Linked DNA regions of Caenorhabditis elegans. The protein of the gene in region 2 purifies or fractionates together with the protein of the main gene of each other region. This does not show direct contact. Each region holds a gene or a part of one and is shown on either strand. Other genes may lie near its edges.

What was found.
Region 1: the proteins of snt-1 (region 2) and unc-41 purify together in Caenorhabditis elegans (affinity purification with western blotting, with the first as the bait; one study listed by BioGRID). This does not show direct contact.

The regions. Positions count from the first base shown.
Region 1 is NC_003283.11:9,973,103-9,978,162, forward strand, and holds the start of unc-41 (Putative stoned B-like protein), read right to left. Parts: upstream 3,137-5,060; 5' UTR 3,125-3,136; coding exon 2,351-3,124; intron 1,975-2,350; coding exon 1,908-1,974; intron 1-1,907. UniProt on the Caenorhabditis elegans protein: Potential adapter protein, which may be involved in endocytic vesicle recycling of synaptic vesicles.
Region 2 is NC_003280.10:6,809,152-6,816,740, reverse strand, and holds snt-1 (C2 domain-containing protein), read right to left. Parts: upstream 5,774-7,589; coding exon 5,658-5,773; intron 4,853-5,657; coding exon 4,755-4,852; intron 3,659-4,754; coding exon 3,477-3,658; intron 2,651-3,476; coding exon 2,180-2,650; intron 1,882-2,179; coding exon 1,764-1,881; intron 1,694-1,763; coding exon 1,554-1,693; intron 1,438-1,553; coding exon of another isoform or gene 1,304-1,437; intron 1,219-1,303; coding exon 1,115-1,218; intron 865-1,114; coding exon 762-864; downstream 1-761. UniProt on the Caenorhabditis elegans protein: May have a regulatory role in the membrane interactions during trafficking of synaptic vesicles at the active zone of the synapse. It binds acidic phospholipids with a specificity that requires the presence of both an acidic head group and a diacyl backbone.

The DNA.
Region 1 (5,060 bases), on a different chromosome or scaffold from region 2:
TGTAAATACTACAATATCGAAAATAGAAAGGAAAAATGAGTCGTTGAGGACAGAGGGTTCTGCTCAATGAGCATGATAATTATTTTTGGCAAGAGGGGAAGGAGACAGAGGGAGTCTTGATTTGTAATGAGCACGATTTGTCTTCTTGATATTTAGAGTATTTTTTGAGGGAGCAGTAAAACAAAAATAGATATACCTTTTATATTTTGGAAAAATCTGCTTCTCATCTATAAAAATTTTGAAAAATCAAGATTGTTGATTTTGTCTTTGGGTTTATCAAAAAAATTATCAATAGACAAAATATTTACATTTTTTCAGTTGAAAAGTATCCGAAATAATTAAAATTAACCAAGAGATGAGCTTTACGAAATAGAATAGGCAGGTGCTTCGTTAATAGGGGGAATAGTGAACACATTAATAAATTTTCACAGAATCATATTTTGAAAAGTAGTTATTATACTTATACCGTATTTCCTCTATTAGTCTTGCATGCAAGACTAGTTTTCAATCGATCCCTAGAGGTGCGAGACTAATAGAGGCTGCAAGACTAATTTTCGAAGATCCAAAAGCTCTGTAAAATTTGCAATTTCTCGTCAAAAAACTTGACTAGAAACAGTCTAAACCATGCAAAGTAAATACTTGCCCATTATTTTATCAATTGTTTGAACTCTTTTAAGTTTAATTCAGCCAAACAATGACGAATTTTTTGAAGTTACAAAAAAATTGCTGATCTAGAAAAAAAAGAGTGCAAGACTATTATAGAGTGCAATACTAATAGAGGCTGTAAGACTAATTTTCGATTGGTCCGTAGAGGTGCAAGACTAATAGAGAAACTACGGTAAGTTTAACTTGTATATAAATGGCATTAAAACTGCTATTTGTGGATAATATTTTTGTAACAACTTGAAAAGGTTGTAATTTGTTTTTTTTAATCTTTAACCATTACAGTTGACCCTACAAAAAGTATTGGAAAGACTGTGGCCGTTTCAAATAATATGGCTTAACACTGATTTTTTTTTGAACAGAAACCAGTTGCAAGTAAAATAAATTTTGAATTCTACACAATGGAACAGCTGAAATAAAATGTTCTATCAAACTACCTGCTCCAGTGCTGGAGAAAGTTTTTCCATGTGTACGCTCTGTTGCAGATATCTAGATTTCAAATTAAATAAACTTAAAGCAGTAGTAGAAAATATGAAAAAGTAAAAATAAAAGAGGACAATGAAAACTGGTTCCAACTCTCTCTCTCAACTCTTTCTCCCAAATCGCTGCTGTTTCAATTCACCGATGGCTTCCCCTTCTCTCGACGCAGGCTCAGCAGTAGAAGTGGCACATCTTCCGTTTCAGATGAGGTAAAGAAAGTGTGAAAAATGAAGAAGCGGAGAGAAAAGAAGTGAAGAGTTCCGCACTCCTCTTCCCTTTTCTCTCTTTGCTCGACCCCTTCTATGATCAATTCAGTTTTTACGTGCTTCTGACGACGTGAGAGAGCATGGGAAGTGAAGGAGAAAATATGCAAAGCAGGGTGAAAGACAAGGGAGGACAGGGGATTAGCAAATGGGAGCAAGTATTTTTCGTTGAAGGAACAGGGAGCTGCAGCAGAAGTTGAGATGAAGTCGTTGAGGATATTTGAATGAGAAAGTGATGTCTAATTGAGGGTTCCAAAGCATGGTGACAGACAATTACGGAATCTAGATATGTTTGTCTAGTTGTCCCATTTTGCTCCACCCTTCAGCTATTGCTCCATTCAATTCTTAATATCTCAACGTCATTTCTCAATATCCGCTCCCCATCTTTTTTCCCATTACGATTCTTTCTGACAATCTTTTTTCTTTTCGGTTCGTTTAACTATGTATTCTGACGATATTCATACATTTCGGGATTTTTTTGTGCAGTAAATTTATACGTACCTTCCATGTCGGCGAAATTTTCCCATTCGATACTTGACCTTCGATGAACAACCGGAGCAGGAGGAGCCTGAATAAACAAGTATTTTTTGATTTGGAAATAATTTTGACATTTTTAACTTTTCAGATGTGAACGATAGTAAGAATTTGATGTCAAAATATTTATAAACTTGATAAGCTGTGTCCGAAAAATGAGCACAGCAGACAATTCATGAAGCAGAATTGGCTAATTTTAAATTTTGAAAAACTTATAAATAGCTTTTTCAAGTTTCGAAAAAATTTACAATCAAATTTAAGCAGTTTTTAATAATTGTGCCATGTTTGGGCGGCAATGGAATTTTTGGCGATTGAAGAATTGCTGGATTGTCGAAAATTCTAATTGCCGTCCATATCTGCTCTAGACTCTTTTTGTATTCGGTTTTTTAAAATAATAATTAATTACTTACTTTATCCTTGTATTGTGGATTTTCATCAAGAATATCTCCTTCATAGTCATGAAGGGGAGTTGTTCTTCCAGATTGACTCATCCTTCGACCACCACCTCCGGGTATCTGATTTGCCATCGACTCGTAAAATTCTGAATATGACATATTCTCTGTTTTTCTCCTTCGACCACTTGGAATCGACACTTTAATCTTTTTCTCTGCATCTGTTGGAATTGTATCATTAGAACCATCAACACTTCCAGCAAAGAATGCGATTCCATCTAAAACACACGCAGATGTTGGAGTTGTAGGCCTTTTTCGAATTTTCTGATCATACGCGTGCCGAAGTTCTTCAGCTGTTTCAGCGAAGTTCAAACTTTTTGGAGGTGTCACAACTGGTTCTGCAGATGCTGCAAATACTTGTTCAACTTCTGCATCTTCTTCTTCGTCCCTTATCAAACTTTTGTGAAGTTCTTGTTCTTGTTCAGAGTGCCCGGGACCAGGTACTGCCATTTTATATTTCTGGGTCTCTCCAAGTTGAGGATCCACCTTTCCAGGCTTAACTTCAATGATTGTGTCATTTGTATCAGATGTTTTCATACTGACTCCTTCAATCATATCGATGTCAAGTGAAGCTGGTAATTCTGGTGGACCTTCATCTTCAATTGATTGAGTAAATGAACGCATTGCTCTCATTGAAGCTGCTCGTTCTGAAGATGACTGTTTCGATTCATCAGTTAATCGGAAAGCATTTCGGCCACCGTGTGGATCAAAATCACGGTCTCTCCAAGACATCTAATCTTAAAAATATAGGGACATTGTGATTAATGAATAAATAGACAAGAAATGAAAGAATTGGAGCCTGTCTAGGTTATTTAAAATTTGGGAAAAATCAGGAACGGTATGGGACCATGTCTTATGTTAAAAAAAAATTTTCAAGTTTTCTCGATAAGTTAGGGATTTCAAAAAATTGATAGAATTAAATTACTGAAGGCATTTTTGTATTCCCTTAAGTGATCTAATGGTACCTGTGGGTTTTTTGACAAAACATGCACAAAACATTCATTAACTAGAGAGTCATAAAACAAGATTCGTCAGACACTGTTCGGCTTAATAAGTGCAAAACAAATTTTAGCAACAAGATTGGAAGTATGGTATATTTGTATAGATATTGAAATAAAAGAAAGATTTATCTACTTTTTTAGTTGAGATAAGAGAAAAATTGGTTGTTTCTGTATATACATATATTATTATTTTTCTTGCACTATGCACCTCATTAAAAATTGATTAGGCATTGAATCTATTGGCTCAATTTTAGTTTTGTTTCAAAACAGACTATGAAAGGTTATTTTTTCACTTAGATTTTGGCAATATACTACGTCATTTAGTCAAAAAAGGTTTTGCAAAAGACAAGAAGAAACGGAAGAAACGAAAAATTTGTGTGTCAACAAGTGGAAACTTGATATTTTGGATATTTGGACCGGTAGTTTGGGTTTCAGCCGAAACACGAAATACTGAATCTAAGAATATATTGATTTTCAGATTATCCATTCCATTCGTTTCTTCCATCTTCAAAAAGGTGCCTAACCCATGAAATCTACCCATCAATCTGCCCTGTCTCTCCTTTTCCGCTATTACTCCTAGGCTTTCTATGCATATAAAATACGAAGAGTCATGCCTAAAAAAGAATGGAAGGGTTTGGAAAGAAAATATGGAAAATAAAATGAAAGTGGAGACGATTTTGAATGTCAAGACTCTTCTTCTACTTTTTCTTTTGAGTGCTTATGTATGAGATAAGTGATTTTTTAATATTTCACGAGTCTATTCTCTAATTGTAAGCCCCCAATTGCATGACTATTTATTAAAATGGTGCAAATAATATTGTTTTCTAAATCCATAAAAGTAGAATCCATTCTTCGAAAACTACACCGATTGGTAGTACTAGCACATTCAATTATAGATACGACGGGAGGAAAAGCGAGAGGCCTGAAAGGGAAGGAGAAATTGCGAATTAACTGAATTTTTCCTTTTTTTCTCAATCTGATTTTGACGGGAAAGAATATTCACAAATTGAACAAAATAAAGATCAGAATTTGCAGACTTGAAAAATCTTTTGAAAAAATTATCTATAACTTTTTCGTGTAATAGAGAAGTACGGTAAGCGTGAGACCCTTGGTTGACTTTAGCAGTTGTATCCCACTTGATCAAAAATATCAGTAGTAAATTTACAAAAGCTATAATGGAAAATCATCGAATACGCATTTTTCAGTAGGTAAGGATTCGTTAAAATGAAATACGATCTAATATATAATATCAATGTTCTGTTTCGAAATTTGAATTAGCTGTTGGCATTTTAAAAGAATCAAATGTATTGATATCTGTTGATGTAGCATGTTATTGGAACCTAGGTCGGTAATTTTTTGAAACAGTGACCTAAGTTACACTTTTCAAGAACAATGCTTTCTTAACTTCATTTCGCCATACAAATGTTCACTTTGCGTAAATAGTCAAACTCAAGCGGTATGTCCTCTAACAGAATGTAACTTTTTTGGTCTAAAAAGTGTGTCATATAATCAAAAGCTGATATGTTCTAATCTTCTACTTAATCTTTAGCCTGAAAGATATAAGCATGTGTAACGTAAGTCAATGTTGCAGTTTTTGAAGGAATATTCAAAAAACAGGTGGAATTTAGAAGCTCTTTTAGCATATGAAAAGTTATTGGTTCGAGTAC
Region 2 (7,589 bases):
ATGAATCTACAGGTAATCCGAACCCGAACAACTATAGTTAGTATCGAGTGATTATACCATATCAAATATAAAATATGTTGATCCATCAAACAGATATATGACCCTTTTCCATAAAACGGTATCAAATAAACAGATGTGAATTTGCTTTGGTTTCTGTAGACTTAAACAGATAAACTTCAAATCAAACTTCAGTAATTTTTGTTAGAAAAATGTATTCAGCAATAAATTTAATACATATTTCCAATCTGCAGCACATCAAATAGTTTTGAAACAAAACATCAAATATTTTTTATAAAATCAGTTTTAGAAGTTATTTATTTACCAAAAAGAAAAATGTGTAAACGATGCAATTTAATTATGTCAGCAAGATTGACAGAAAAAAACACAAATTTCCAAAAAATAGACATCTAACGAATAAATAAATTGGAAAAGTTAAATAAATTAAGAAAAGGAGAAACTCTGAATTCGAGTATATAAGGAACATGTTGGAAGAGTGAAAACAAAGAGAGATTAATATTTAAATCACCGCCTTGGCACTGACAATTGCTACTCATTTCTACACATTGCATTATAAAAAAATAAAATAAAAATATTTGATGCATGGATTTTCACAGCGACTAGATCCTATGTACATCGGGAAATTGAAACTTTGAACGAAAAAGGACAAGCAGGAAAAATAATATCTCTTTGAATTAAAAAAAAGTGAAAAATTTAGATTGAATAAGGCATTTAAATTTAAAAAAAATGATAAAGTCATACATTTATTTCTTATCATCTTTCTTATCACCTTCTTCTTCAACTGGTCCAAGTGTATGCCATTGAGCAATTGGACGACGTGGTGAAGCCAACATATCCATCCAATGCCTGGAAATAGTTGGAATACTTTTGTTTAGGTTGATAAAGGAATTTCGCAACATTGTTTATGGTCTCGGTATCACATTAGATTTATGAAAAATTGAAAAAAATAAACCAAACTTCTTAGAACTTCCAATTATCAAAATGTATATGTCACCAGTTAACACTTTTAAAAATAAACCCATATTTCTGTGGTCACTTGCAAGAATTTTTAGACTTTCATTTAAAAAATTATTAAAAAAAAAAAACAAAAGCAAACCTCAGCTCGGCACCGGTTCCATTACATCCCAATAGACACCTTCCAATAGCGTCATTGGATCCAAGTTTATCATAATCCATCACAGTGATCATAAGGGAAACTTTCTGCAAATATTAAAAAAAAATAAATATTCAAAAATCGTCTCGAAGTTGAATGAAAAAGTTAGAAAGACATGTTAGAAAAAGCCACCTGAATTTGTTCGAAAGGCACTTCAAAGCTGAACGATTCGTTATAATATGGGTTAAGTGTACACTTTTTGATTGATGTCTTCTTCTTTTTCAGTCGTTTTCCACCTTGCATCAACACAATCTTCACATAAGGATCTGAAAATTACCCCAGAAAATGAAATGTTAGATTTAGTTAGAAAGGTTAAAGCCAGCAATATTTGGGGATATAGAATAGTTTAGTTTCAGCGCAAATTTATGAATTCCCAGATCACCTTCATTTTATGCAATGGCAATTTGTCAAATACAAAACTCTCATTAAAATATGGATTCAAAGTTTTCCGTTTGATATTCGTTTTCTTCTTTTTCAATCGTTTTCTATCTTCTCCGAACATTTCCAATTTCACATATGGATCTTATAATTTTAAAGTTTAGATTTTTGTTAGAATTAGGATCAATAATTTTTTTAATTAAAAAAAAGTTACCTGATAAACCACCGACGTCCATTTTCTTAAGATTTTTTGCTTCCAGAATGACCACTGTCAATTTACCAGCAGTTGGGACGTACCGAAGTGAGAAGCAAATGTCACCAAGACTCTTCTCCTGAATTTTTAGAATTTGTTTTTGGTTTTTGGGTTGTCAAAAAAATGATTAAAGTATTTCGAATTCGCTATTAAAGAATGTGAGGTCAGAAAGAATCGCATTGTAAATTTTTTTACGTCTGGAAGGATAATAGGTGTTATAGCTCTCAAATTTATATTGTTGTATTTATAAATATTTGAAATAGTGTACTTTGGAAGTAGATTTTCAACTGAACTGATTCGTTTCTACATAGACGGTGCTTCTATTTCTCAATTACTTTTTGATAATTCAATTAACATTTAAAAAAAACAAAACTTACAGCTTCTTTGTCATCTGGTGGTGGTGCAATATCCTTCCATTCTTCGATAACAGCTCCCAAATCAATTTTTCCAAGCGGAATGAGAACTTGTCCGATTTGATCGTGCTTACTGAACCGATCGAAATCATAAATTGCAAAGACAAGAGTTTTTGCCGTAATTTCGTTGAAAGCGACTTTAAAAATGAATGTCTCATTGAATACTGGATTAAGAGTTTTTCGATGTACTTTCGTCTCAACCTTCTTCTTTTTCTCCGGTAACAAATACAATTTTACATATGGATCTGATGTTCCTGACATGTCCATTCCTGGTAAATCTTCTGCTTGAATTACAGTTACAGTTAGTTGACCTTGTTGGAAATCATAATCAAGTTTATATTGTATCCTTCCAAGTTTCACTTCTTCTTTTTCTTCAGCTTGTTCTTTTTCATTTTGTTCCATCGCATCACCAAGTTCTTCCAAGTCTTGAGCCATCTGAAATTAATTATACAATTATCAAAATCAAACTAGACAACACTGATGTTTAATCTATTTTGATGAAAATTCTGTCGTCATCGTTTGGAAATTCTATTACTGATTCTGACATATTCCCCAAGAGATTCTGATCGCTATTTTAAAAATATGCATGCTCTCAAAAACAATTATTAGAACAATAATTTGTTTCATTGAACTCCAGTTAGAACGACAGTTAGTAATTTATTTGTATTCCAATCTTAAGAGAAATCAAAACTTTGTACTACTTATTTCAAAAACCGAGACAATCGTTATTTATGTTTTCAACTTTTACAATTAGTTACCTCGAGGGGCTATAAAATTAGGAAGAGTTCAGCAAGGTTGGCTAAAAAAATGTTTTAGCAATAAACGAGATTCAAAAATTCGTAGGTTCAAAATCCCGATAAAAAGTTTTTCAAAAAAATCCAAGTAAAATGTTTTAGGTTTAACTCTAGGAAATGAGTTAGATCAAGGATTTTTGTTTTCAAAAAAGTCGGGAATTTTTTTTTGTAAAATTCTTGATAAAATTTTCCTAAGAATCAAAAACTAAAAATTAGAACAATACCAAGAAATCCAAGGAAGAAATCCAGAAATAAGACATTTGCATGCCTGGAGTCACTTGCAAAAAATTGCCTGCCTACCTACGTGCCTATTATACTCTTGCACCTCCATGCATACATGGGAGCTCTAGATTATCATAACCAAGTTTACATGTTTGGTTTCGCAAAGTCGCTCGAATACGGTATTCCGTAACTTATTATATTTCCTTCCTTGTTTTTCATCATTATTTTTCATTTCAAAAACATACCCCTTGAATATTTTTTCCATCAACGACATCCTGTCCTTTACCAAAGAATCCTTTCAATCCACCCTTTTTGTTCTTCTCACCATGCCGCTTTTTTCCAAATAACTTCCGAATGAGACAGAATGCACACGCGAGAACCAGCAGAATAAATACGAATCCAAGAAATACGAACGCCCATTCAGGCACTGAAATTCTCGTAAAAAGGGATATGAAAAAGTTGAGAGAAAAATAGAAAATAAACCAACTTTACTTTAATATTAAATTCACTTTCAGCTGTTTTTTTTCTCTATACTTTTTTTTTGTTTTTGTTTACTATTTAATTGAAATCTATAAGTTATTAATAGATGTATGTATTTATTTATTTTTTGCATATCTCTATAATATTTATTCCCCAAAGAATATCTCTTTTCCCTATCCTAATTATTTTCGTCACCAGTATTTGTTGTCCATTGGAGCATTGGAGCCGCCAACTCATAAACGAACTACTTTTTTAGTGTCCAGTGATGAATGTGTTATTGTTCTTCATGCTTTTACTTCTCTATCTCTCTTTTTCTACTAATTTTTCGTCTCTCCCTAGGGACATCTACCACTTTTTTGGCACATGCTCTTCTTTTCTGGGGCCATCTTTCTATACACGTCAATTCTGGTTACTACTTTCTCTTCTTTTCAATACTCGAAAAGTAAAAAATCTAAAATATTCAGCGCATGGGGAGGAATAGAAGGAAAAAGAGAGAAAGGCTGTCGTGGTAGCCAAATATCAAATTACAATCGACACAGCCTGAAGCTGTGAAACGGATGGAGCATCCAGTTTTTTTGGAAGAAAAAAAAACGATTTTAGATCCCCGAAAGACAATGAGAAAATTTGAGAAAGAGTATACATGAACACTTTGTATGAAAATTTCCAGGAATTTTAATGAAAACGGTACTATTATATTAGACCAATGACGTCAGCTTGAAAAATGACACCGGTTGTTATAAATTCTATATTTCTGTCTACAAGAATTCAAAGTTTCTGGTAAAAAATATATAAAAGATCATCGAAAAAAGCTTAATCACAATCATAGTAATATAGCAATGTTGTGGTTTTCTGTTTCAATGAAATTTTGTTGAGATTCAAGAGTTTGGGAATATTCAAAATATTTCGAAAATTCAAAACGAAATTGAGAACCAAAAATCAATTACAGTTGTATTGATTATTCAGTAAATAAAAAGATTAAGGGGTTTTGGTAACTTCAGGTTTATTTCTTTCAATTTTTCTCCAACCAATAATTAATGACTCACTCCCAGTTTGTTGCATAACCTTTTCTTTCACAACGTCTTTCACATCAATCACTTTATTTACAACCACATCTTTCAGCGTCTCCTTTGTCGTTGTTGCTCTGAAATTATTTTATTTTTGTTTAAAAATTCACAGAATGCAATAAATCAATCGAAAATGAACAACATTTGTTCCTTCATGAATCGATCATGACATCACATCGCATGTTTATGAGCGCCCACAGATTTCATATTTTATATGATTTTTCTCGTTTCTTTTATGGTTTGTCGTTTTTTCTTTTCTTCTGTTTTCTTCCCCTTAGCAGATTAAAATAATCGTTTAAAATTTATATGAAGATAAATAATGTCGCAGTGAAGCCAAAAAATATTTGAATCATCATAAAATTTGAACGATCAACATAAAAAATATAACCAGTTGGTAATTCCTGAGAATGATTTGCCGAAACATTGCTAAAAGGTGTACCGAAATTGGGCAATGCTTAGAACGGCCTCAGCAAAGATTTGACAATTAATTTAAAATCAAGCTTATTTTTTTTATAAGTTGAGCTTGAAGGGACACCGGGTGCCGAACAATTTTTCCAGTAAATTTCAAAACTTTAAGTTAGAGGCGAATTTAGATTAGTCGATTCTACTGGCTGTACCTCTCTTATTAGTGCTGCCCCTTTTTACTCGATTTTTAGTTTGTTTCAAAAAATATAGAATTCAGGTTTTCTGATATTAATATTTTTTAATATTTAATTAATTAATATTTTTGGGGTTTCAAATTTTTGGCATTTTCCATAATATTTGTCGCAGGTTTTGTTAGTTCTTTGAACTGGAAACTCAAAAGTTTTCATTTTCTGAGTGTGTCTAGGAAAGAAAGATACAATCTCTAAAAGATTATGGCTCTTTTCTTTTTCTACTTACATTTGCTTTACTGCTTCCGATGTTGTTTCTTCCATTGGTGCTTCATCCCTTACAAACTCTTTTGTCAAGTCTTCGTCGTTCTCTTCGTCTTGCGACGAAAAGTCTAATTTCACCATGGTGACTGAAAGTTTGATTGATAAATGAAATCAGAGGTAAATCAAGATGCAAAGCGTCGAAGAAAAGGGTTCCGTGAGAGAATGAAGAGGCGGAGTCGGGGGTCGAATGGGAAAATAGGCAAACCCCGGATGAAAATGTGTTTACAGAAGCGAAATAATTAGAATTTTTCAGAAAGAGGCGAGAGATGTAGGAGTCTGTTTACTTTTCCAGAAGAAGAATACATTCTGATACGAGAAACACGGATGTAAAAATGAAATCCTTGTATGGGAAAAAATATGGGAGACGAAGAGGAGATTATTATGACATTAGATTAATCATATTATCCTATTATTCAAGGGCAAGAATGACGACTAGTTAAGGGGTTTTTTGAACAGATGAAAACAAAAAAAAAAACGTCATTTAGAGAAGAGCAGGATTACTTTTTGAAAACTTTGAGGATCCCAAGGGTCAAAAATCTTAGTAGATCTTGAAAAAGTTATAGAAAGGGAAATGTGCAGTATTCTCCTCAACTTTTTGTTCTTGGCTCATTCCTTTGGAGACCTTTGAGAATCTATAATTATGGAAAATAGTAGGTTTTAGTAGGTTTGAATTTGAATTGAAAATTCGAATTCCAATTGAAGATAGATATTTTTTATTGGCTTCGTATTTTTTTGTTTTTGCATATTTGCTTTCTTTTTTGTCTGTTTTTCGTTGCGATAAACACGCTATATGCAATTCAAAAGCGACGAAAAATAAGAAGTGAAAAAGCATCGAATGATAATACGAATGGGTCGACTACACGAAAGGACCGCTTGGAAAAACGAAAAAAAATTGATTTTTTGTTAGATGTCGTCGTCAGAGCAAAAAAAAGAAGAGAAGAGGTGCTCTTTCGGAGGGCAGGTGAAAAAGAAGTGTTGTAGAGGATGCAAATTTTGGGGAAAGCTCACATCGAGCATTTGCGGTGGTGGTTGCATTCTTGATTTTCCCATGGCTTTGAATAATGATTCTAATTCAGGAGTTTTGCAAGATAGGCTTGGGAAAAATATTTAAAACTTGTCACTAACATATTTCAAGAACTGAGAGAATGGATAAGTTACTTAAAGATTTAAAAAAGTTTTCGGAAAAACTTTAAAAATTGTAGTGTTTCTCAGAACTTGGCAGCCAACAATGTTTCTAGTAACTATATGTTAGGTTGCTGGAGATAAAATTTCTTAGTAACATTTTTTCAAGCTTGTATAAAATATTTGTATGATGTTCTGGGGTGAAAAGTTTCGGAGACCTTGGAACATGTCTAAATTCGAACTTCGCGGGAAATTGAGAAATACGATGATAAATCAGAGATGAGCGAAGGGCATCAACAGTTTTGATTTGTCGGCTTCTAAATTATTTGAAGACATTAAAAATCAATTCCTTTGTCGACAATGTTGGAGACTTTTCAGAAATAAAAATTCATGACAGTTTTTTTTGTTGAAAAGATTGTGTAAGTTATTTTGGGTCTTTCAAATATTTCAAAAATCTTAAGCTTAATGTTTAGATGAGCCCACCTCTTCAAAATATCTCCAATGAAATTTCAAGAATTATGGAGAAAGAAATACCCACGCACTTTTTTCTTTTTACTGACCTGTGTCATCTTCACAAGCTCATGTAATTTTCATTTGGGTGAAAGGTCAGTTTTCTGTTTCAAAAGAAGATGCACCCCAAGTGCCATTAGTTAAATTTGAATTCGTTCCTATTTCGAAGCATAATTGAGAAGAGTCAAAAGTGTGATGAGACCAAAATACCATTGTTCGAAAAACAGATTTTTCATTTTTATTTGTATTTTTGGCTTTTAACGGA